2 linked regions of the Tamandua tetradactyla genome follow. The protein of the gene in region 2 purifies or fractionates together with the protein of the main gene of each other region. This does not show direct contact. Links are inferred from orthologs where the notes say so. Each region holds a gene or a part of one and is shown on either strand. Other genes may lie near its edges.

Region 1 (3,906 bases), on a different chromosome or scaffold from region 2:
GTTCCATCTGGAGTGTGGAGGGCCCCAGAGCCATAGCCATTCATTGCCATAGGCTACATCCTTCTTTGCTCCTCCTGGCTGAGACAGGAGCTCAAGGGCGGGGCTCTCTGTGGAGGGATTCCTGTGCAGGGAGGAACCCATAGGTGTGGGGGTACGGGGGTGGAGCAGTGTCACAAGTGCAAATGGGACAGCCCAGTGGGCCCTGACCTGCACTCTGATGGGGAGTGGGGGTGGGGGCAGGGCCAGACCTTAGCTCCGTGAAAAATGAATCAGCTGGAAGATGCCAGTTAGGAAGATGTCACTTGAGACGGGTGGTAGTGAGGGAGGGTGTTTCATATTGGGGGTAGGGAGGAGGCAGCCGGTCATGCAGATGCTGCAGGAAGAGGGTTCCATCCTGAGGGTACCGCTGTGCAAAGGCCCTGAGGTAGGACTTTGCTTGGTGTTTGCGGAGCCTGGTGTGGTGAGACTGGAGGGAGTGAGAATTGGGGAGAGTGAGAGGAGGGGACGGGGCAGGTAGAGCAGCACATGATGGGCTTTTGCTCCAGATGAGATGGGAGAAATGGAGGGTTCTCAGCAGGGGAGGCCCGCCCCCCCCCCCCCTCAGGGCTTCACAGGTACTCGCTAGCTGCTGTGGGGCTGGGTGCCTGGGAGCTATGACTGTGTGGGTCCAGGCAAGCGATGATGGCAGCGATGGGGCCTGGGCTTTGGGTGATGGCTTTGTTTGTGGGGACAGTAGGCAGTTCAGGCTTGGTTTGCAGGTGGAACAGCAGGACCTGCTGTGGCTGGGGTGAGGGGTGGGAGGCACCCTGGGTCTCCAGCCTGTGTCAGGTTGTGCCCATCCTGCCTGCGCCTGGGTGGCCACGAGGGTGGGAGATGCTTGTCCTGGAGCTGCTGGACCCTAAGGCCTGGATTCCTGCAGAAAGGTGCTGGGAGGGTTGGGGTCTCAGGGGTGCATGACTGGAAGACCAGGCTCAGGAGGCTGAGCTTTGACCGCTACTCCTGTTCTAGCAAAACCAGAAAGGAGGCCCCTGGGGAGGCGGCGGGGGGAGTCAGCCTCGCTGATATCTCACCCATGTTCTCATCCCAGCTCTGTCCCTTCCCTACGAGTTTCCTGGGGAGGCCCTGGCCCTCTGAGCCTGGTTGACCCATCTGTGAAATGGGGCGGGGGGGGCGGCGTGTGATCCTGGCATCACCCCCTTGGGATTGCTTGAGGATTTCCTGCGCCATTGCCCAGTAAGGGGTTAGAACCCGGCCAGGTGGGCGGCCTGTGCCCTGAGTGGACTTCTCCCGTGGCTGTAGCTGTGCAGAGAGCAGAGCAGGCCATAGTAATGCCCCGTTATGCCCCCTCCCCCGGGCCCCAGCCCAGCCCCTTGGCTGGGTGTGTCCCACTGACTCATTCCTGGTTTCCTTATCTGTTTGTTTTCCCTCTCCTGGAAAGGGCATCCCCACCCTCCTGGGGACTAGAAGTCAAAGGCTCTTCGTGGGGCTTTGCCCTCTGTTCCACACAGCAACTAGACAGCCTCTGCTCTGCCTGCGGTGCCCCCTCCTGGCCGTCCTGGCCTCCCAGCAGGGAGAGCAGACCCATTTTACAGAGCAGGTAAGCTGAGGCTCCGAGAGGGCAACATAGCCCTCACCGGGTCACCCAGCCAGCTGGGCTCCCTGCAGGGATGGGCAGCGTCCTCCTGTCCCTCAGGCAGAGGTGGCAGAGCTGGTCTTGACCTGGCTGCCTGATTCCTGAGCCTGTGTTCATCCTGCTCATGCCCCAGCCACCTCCTGAGCACCTGCTACCTGCCAGCCTCGTCCTGGGAGCTGGGAATCCAGCCATGCCTGTCCCCAGGTGAGGGCCCATTGGAGGCCCTGCTGGTGGGCGTGGGGAAGGGGCCTGCACTTGGGAGAGAGGACTGCAATCCACTATATCTGTGCCTGAGCAGAGACAGGCAGGGCCTGTGGGGAAGGGTTTCCTGGCAGTGGGAAGAGCCCCTGCAAAGGCTTAGAGGCCAGAAGGAGGGCACAGAGACGTAGGGGGCAGGGGGCAGGATTGTGGGTGGTGTGGGCAGGGTGGGGCTGAGGATGAGGGAAGTGGTCAGAGCATGACTGGTCGTGTGGCCTTGTGGGGGCGGGCTGAGGGAAGAGACCTGGAGGCAAGGAGGCTGGGCCTTTTGGTTCAGAAAATAATGTGGAAGGAATCCTCCAGGCTGAAATGATTATAGTGAACACTTACTGAGTGCCTGCTGTGTGCTTGGCCTGTGTTCTGGGTCCTAGTACCCAAATGGGGGGGCGGGGTGCAGACAAGAGCATGCTCGTGCTGCGGAGGGAGTGGAGGGCAGAGAGGGGATTAGAACTGGGACCAGTCCAAGCAGCCCTCTGCCCACTGGGTCTGCCCTTCCTCACCTCCACAGGAGGTGGAGTGGCCCTGTCTGGTGCCCCAGAAACAGACAGGAGAGGCAGAGAGGCCAGCCAAGGTCGTGGAGCCAAGAGGCTGCCCTCTCAGGCAACCTGGCTGCTGTTTGGAAGGAGGTGAGGGGCTGGCCACTCCTGTCCCAGGAGGGTCCTAGGTAACCTCTGGGGCTGGGGGGCAGGGAAGAGGAAGCAGATGGCCAAGGCCTGACCGTGGCCTCCAGATAAGTGGACAGTCAGGGTTCTAGGCAGAGCTGCTTGGGGGGCAGCTTCCTCCCACGCCGGAAGCCCCAGGGTGCGCGCTCTTCTGCCCAGGCCTCTCTGGGCCCCTCGGTCCAGCTGTCCCCTCAGCTCCCCTCCCTGCCGCCACCCCCAGCCCCCCCAGACGGCCTCTCCTGCCTGGCCCCAGCGCTCTCTGGCTTTTCTTGGGCACCACCCGCATGCTTCTGGTCCTCCAAGGCTCCGATTGTCTGTTGTTCTTTGCTGGACTTTGGTGACTTCTGTGGCATCACCATTGTCCCCACGGTGCCTGGCACCACGGCCGGGCCCAGAGCAGTCACAGTGCAGCCCGTGCAGACGCCGGCTGTGCAAAGCCTCGTTGGTCTGGACAGCAGCCCGCGTCTCCCACCCAGCTGCTGGTGGCCCGAGGGGTCAGGTCCGGGGCCTCAGCTGCCCCCGGGAGATGGAGTTAACATCCGGGTCCTGGGGATTTTCGTCAAGGCCAAATGGGCCGACCCGCAGAAGGTTCTCTGCCCTGGGCCTGGCCCAGCGTGTGCTCCCTAGCTGTTGGTTGTGCTTTTTAATGTCATTTTATCTTTTCTTCTTTTGCTTTCGCTATTCTTTTTTAAAGTAATGTTTTGGACTCAGTAATCCACATGCATGCCGCAGAAAGATGTTTGAGAATGTGCAGTGAATCTCCGAGACCCGCATTGACAGGCTTTCGAGTTCTTCACACCTGAGCTGTTATTATTGGGTAACTAATAAGATTATAATCCATGGACAGATTTAACAGTGTGTTCATTTTTTATATTTTTATCTCCACAAGCATGTCCTCCTGAATTTGTTAGCGTTTGTGACCTTCTATTAAGAGTTTAACTTAGATGCAGTAAATCTCATAAATCTGAAGTACACACCTTGGTGGTGGTGGTGTTTTATGAATGAATTCTCATAACTACCAGACAGATCAAGGTAGAGAACTGTCATTGCGGAAAGTTTCCTTTGCGGTCATTTCCCCCAGGGGATCCGCTGCTCTGATTTCTATCACCTTAGACTAGTTTTGCCTGTTAAAGTCTGAGGCCACCCACCATGACTCAGCAAGAGAAACAAGGGCACATGGCCCTAGAAGGGTGCACGCAGGCATGTTCACAGCAGCTTCATTGGTAATGCCCAGAGCAGACAAGCTCAATAAAGCAGGGGCCCCCATGTGATGGACCCCAGTACCTGGCAGGGCACTTGGGACACAGATGCCATCTGGAGGGAGCAAGTGAAGCTGCCTTGGGCCAAGTAACG
Region 2 (3,906 bases):
TCTGCATCAGGGCTGGAAACACACTCATTCCTCTGCTACTTGCTCACTCCCTCAATTCCTTCAAGTCTCACATCAAAAACTTTCAGTAGAGGCCTTTTCTGGTCATTATCTATAAAAAGTCCATCTCCCACCACACACAAACACACTCCTTTCCCACTTACACTGCTTTAAATCATCAGGAGTACTTACAATCATCTGACACTTCTGTCTATTCACATATTGTCTTCCTCCTACCCCCGCCAGAATATCTACCCCTCAAGGACAGGACTTTGTCTGTTTTGTTCATGACTGTATCCCAGAATAGTGCCTGGCATGTGCAGGTGCTCAAAAAATATCTGTCTTGAATGAATAAAACCCAGGCCTTCAGAATCTTAGCCCAACGCCCTATTTGCTCTACCATGTCGCCTCAGTTCTTGGTGGTCATGTCCTTCAATTTAGAAGAACAAATCTAAGAAAAAAGAAAGAACACAATTTAGCTACTCTATGCCCATTTTATCTTCTATGATTTCCTTTTATAGCATCAAGGACAAAGTAAACCCAAAGTTAACACTTTTGGTAGGCAAGTCTCCATTCACACTCTATTTTATCATTAGAAAAAGTGATCTGCCTCCCGCCCCATGCCCACCGTCTCTCATCTGCCGCCACTTTGCCCTTGCAGTGATTTTATCATTAGAAAAAAATTCCTTCAACAAATTTATCACTAAACTATCTGTAATTTGAAAAACCCTGTTTTGCTTAATTTAGCCTGACAGTGATGGACTGCAAAGATCAAGAATAATAATTTGAAAATTCTCTACAGATCACGCAGAAAGGGTTTCTTTCTAAAGCAGAGATAAATGACTTGACCAGCTCTGGAGGCTTCCTGTGTCACAGTTTCTAAGCATTCAGGACATAAAAATCTAAGCCTGGCCTACTTACCCCTTTTTCAGAACCAGAGCTTCACAAAGTCTTGCACTATGATTGAAAAGTGAAATGTTTAAATGATCTCAATTTTTAGGAGATCTTAAATAGTGATTCAAGATTCACGATTTATCATGTTCTTTGAGAAGAGTAAAAAGTAGCATAAGTTCAATCAGTGCTTGAAGGAGGCTCTGAATTGTGTTGATGTTGAGAAGAATGAGATAAGGGTCTTGCAGGTAAGAGTGGTAGTCAGAGAAGAAGGAAGGCAAAGAAGGATGCAGAGATTGATCGAAACAAGAAGAGGGAATGGCTCTGCTTTGGGACTGCAAGACAAAAGAAATAACACACATATTTGGGCAGAGTAGCCCATAAAGATCACGATTATATCTCAGTCAAAAAGGCACACAATATGAACACTGAATAAAAGAATTTTATATTTTCTAAGTCAGAATGTTCTCAGCTTATTGCAAAAGGTATCTGCGGCTCTGTACAGACCCCATTCGCAGGGCAGACCTCAACTATTCTCCACCATGTATGAAACACTCCATTTCAGTCTCTGATGTGTGAACACTTGAAAACACAATTGCTGGTTGTTTTCACAAGTAGTGAGTTATGCTTCAAATTAAATAAAATCAGGGGATTTTAGAGATGGAAAGGGGCCTTACAGATTCTTTAATTCACCACCTTGAATATATTCATGCCGTGCAAGTCATAAATGCAACACTGAGAAATCACAACTGTTTGTGGCGGGGTACTTCAATCTTGCAAAATAGTATTATGGATTAATCCACAGTAATCCACACTACTCCGCCCTAGAACTCAGCTCTGTAAACAAGAAGATCTAAACAACGCTGAAACCCTAAATATTTGTGTTACCACTAGCTTGCCAGACACCACTGGCACTACTAACTACAAAAAAAAAGTGTTTCAACACAAGATGTTCATATTACTGTAAAAGAATACAACTAACCTAAAGGCCAGTTACCAATATTACAGAATAATGGGAGTGCCAAAAAATATTTACTTTTCATTATTGTATGAGACAGACAATACGGGATACTGAAATTGCGTTAAACGTTAAACTCTATACACCTAGCACTCTCCACAGCTCCTGGGCCTGTTTGTAACCCCAGTATTCCTTTATTCAACTGCCAGCAACCTAACTCTTTTCAAGGTAAGTGCTCTGTGAAATTGATGCCTGGTGGACATCAGTAACTGCTGCAAGAATGAAGGTAGGTATCCGTGAATAACTGTAAAACTCCACCATCACCAAACTTGCAGCTGTAGCCCAACAAATTTAAACTCTAACTTCGGAAACCATCCATCCTCGAGTCACCCTGACAGAGAAATCATGGGCTCTTAAACCGACTGGATGTGAGACTCTAGACAAGCTAGAAGAATTTCTTCATCTGTAAAACAAGGGGGCTGGACTATTGCTAGATTCCTTTCCAGCTCGCAAATTCCGCCCCTTTGAGGGACTAGCAGGGCGGTGCAGTGAAAAGAGTCCTGGGCTGGACATCAAAAACGCCCACGTTCGCATCCCGGACCGGGGGGCCACCCGGTCTCTCCGCCTCTCCACCTCCAGGGGACCCGCTAGGGGCCTGACCTGACCTTGGACCAGAGGCGTCCGAGTAGGGACCCGGACTCCCGGCCAACAGCAGCGGCCGCCGCGGGGAAGGGACCAACGCAGGCCCGGCTGCGCTGCGCGTCCCTCCGGGCGCGGGACCCCTCCGTCCGCGGTCCCGGTTCAACGACCCTGGCTCCCCGCCCGGCCCTGGCCCCAGGCCTGCCCCTGACCTGCTCTCCGGCGCCTGGCGGTCCCTCGGCGCGGCGGACAGCGGCGATCGCCGGTCCGGGGCCCGCTGTCACCTCCGCCCCTGGAAACTGCAGGCGGGTCAATCCGGTCTGAGTCAGCCCCGCCTCCCGCCTCCCGCCCCCACTCCAGGCTTCCGCCTCGGCCCGCGCGGTCCCGGGGGCGCCACGCTCGGCTCCCGGCGAGGACCAACCCGGCGCCCGCCCCGCGCTCGCGCCCCCTGGCGGCCCGCACCCCGCCCCGCCCGCCCCGCGACGTCAGAGGGGGCGGTGGCGCGAGGCCCTCTACCCCGGGAAACTGAGGCACCGAGGGCTGAGCCGCCCGAGACCCCTTCGCATCTCCCGCGCTCCCCGCCCCACTCGTCCCGGGTGGTGTCCGCTGCGTGCGGGACGTGCCGTCCTACCTGCTGCCCTGGCGCGTCGCCCGTTTCCTTCTCTCCCTGGCTGCTCCCTCGTCCCCCAACACGACCCTTCAGACTGAAAAAAAAAACCAAAATTCCATTGAGAAGAAATTCAATTCCTGTTCGTTTATGTCGTCCTCTTTGCTCCCCGAGGCAATTCCCTTTATCATGTCACACGAAACTCGGTGGCGTTCGCGTGCGTCTCATAGTTTCCCCCGAGCAAAATCTGTCAGGACGCGGTTTAAGAATGTAAAAGCAAGGAATGGCAGAATACAAGAACTGAGCAGGGCTGAGAGTACACTTCTAACTCGTTCGTGGGTCCCCACAGGATTCCCTTTGTGTATTAAAGGTCAGAAAGTCACACGGCATGACTTACCGTGCCTTCAGTTTGCGCGATCTATCTAGGAGATTCGGAAGAATTTTTCAGAGACTTACCTCAAAAATCCCATTGAGATGTATCGTTTCTCCTTTCCTTTGGACAACGAGGGCACTGCCCTCCTGGAATTCACATTCTAGAGTGGGGAGACAGACCAGAAACAAATGACCTACCAGATAATTACAGGGTATGGTGAGGGCTATAATGGAAATAAATCAGATGGCATGAAAGATTAGATCCCAAGAGAATTGAACCCTAATGCCCTAGACATCCATTGCGTACAATTAATTAACTTCTCTTATGCACCCAGAATAGTGCAGGTTGCATACAGTCCTTGGGAGAATAGAGATTACAGTTGCTCAAAACGTTTTCTGTGTTCTGTGGTTTAAATCAGGAATGTGGGTTGGTAAGACCAGA

What was found.
Region 1: the proteins of DNMBP (region 2) and DNM2 purify together in Homo sapiens (co-immunoprecipitation; 3 studies listed by BioGRID and IntAct, with this or other methods). This does not show direct contact. The link is inferred for Tamandua tetradactyla from reciprocal best matches to the Homo sapiens genes DNMBP and DNM2.

What each region holds. Positions count from the first base shown.
Region 1 is NC_135337.1:91,084,090-91,087,995, reverse strand, and holds the start of DNM2 (dynamin-2), read left to right. Parts: upstream 1-1,313; 5' UTR 1,314-1,328; coding exon 1,329-1,597; intron 1,598-3,906. UniProt on the Homo sapiens protein: Catalyzes the hydrolysis of GTP and utilizes this energy to mediate vesicle scission at plasma membrane during endocytosis and filament remodeling at many actin structures during organization of the actin cytoskeleton.
Region 2 is NC_135339.1:61,444,218-61,448,123, forward strand, and holds the start of DNMBP (dynamin-binding protein), read right to left. Parts: upstream 2,861-3,906; 5' UTR 2,698-2,860; intron 1-2,697. UniProt on the Homo sapiens protein: Plays a critical role as a guanine nucleotide exchange factor (GEF) for CDC42 in several intracellular processes associated with the actin and microtubule cytoskeleton.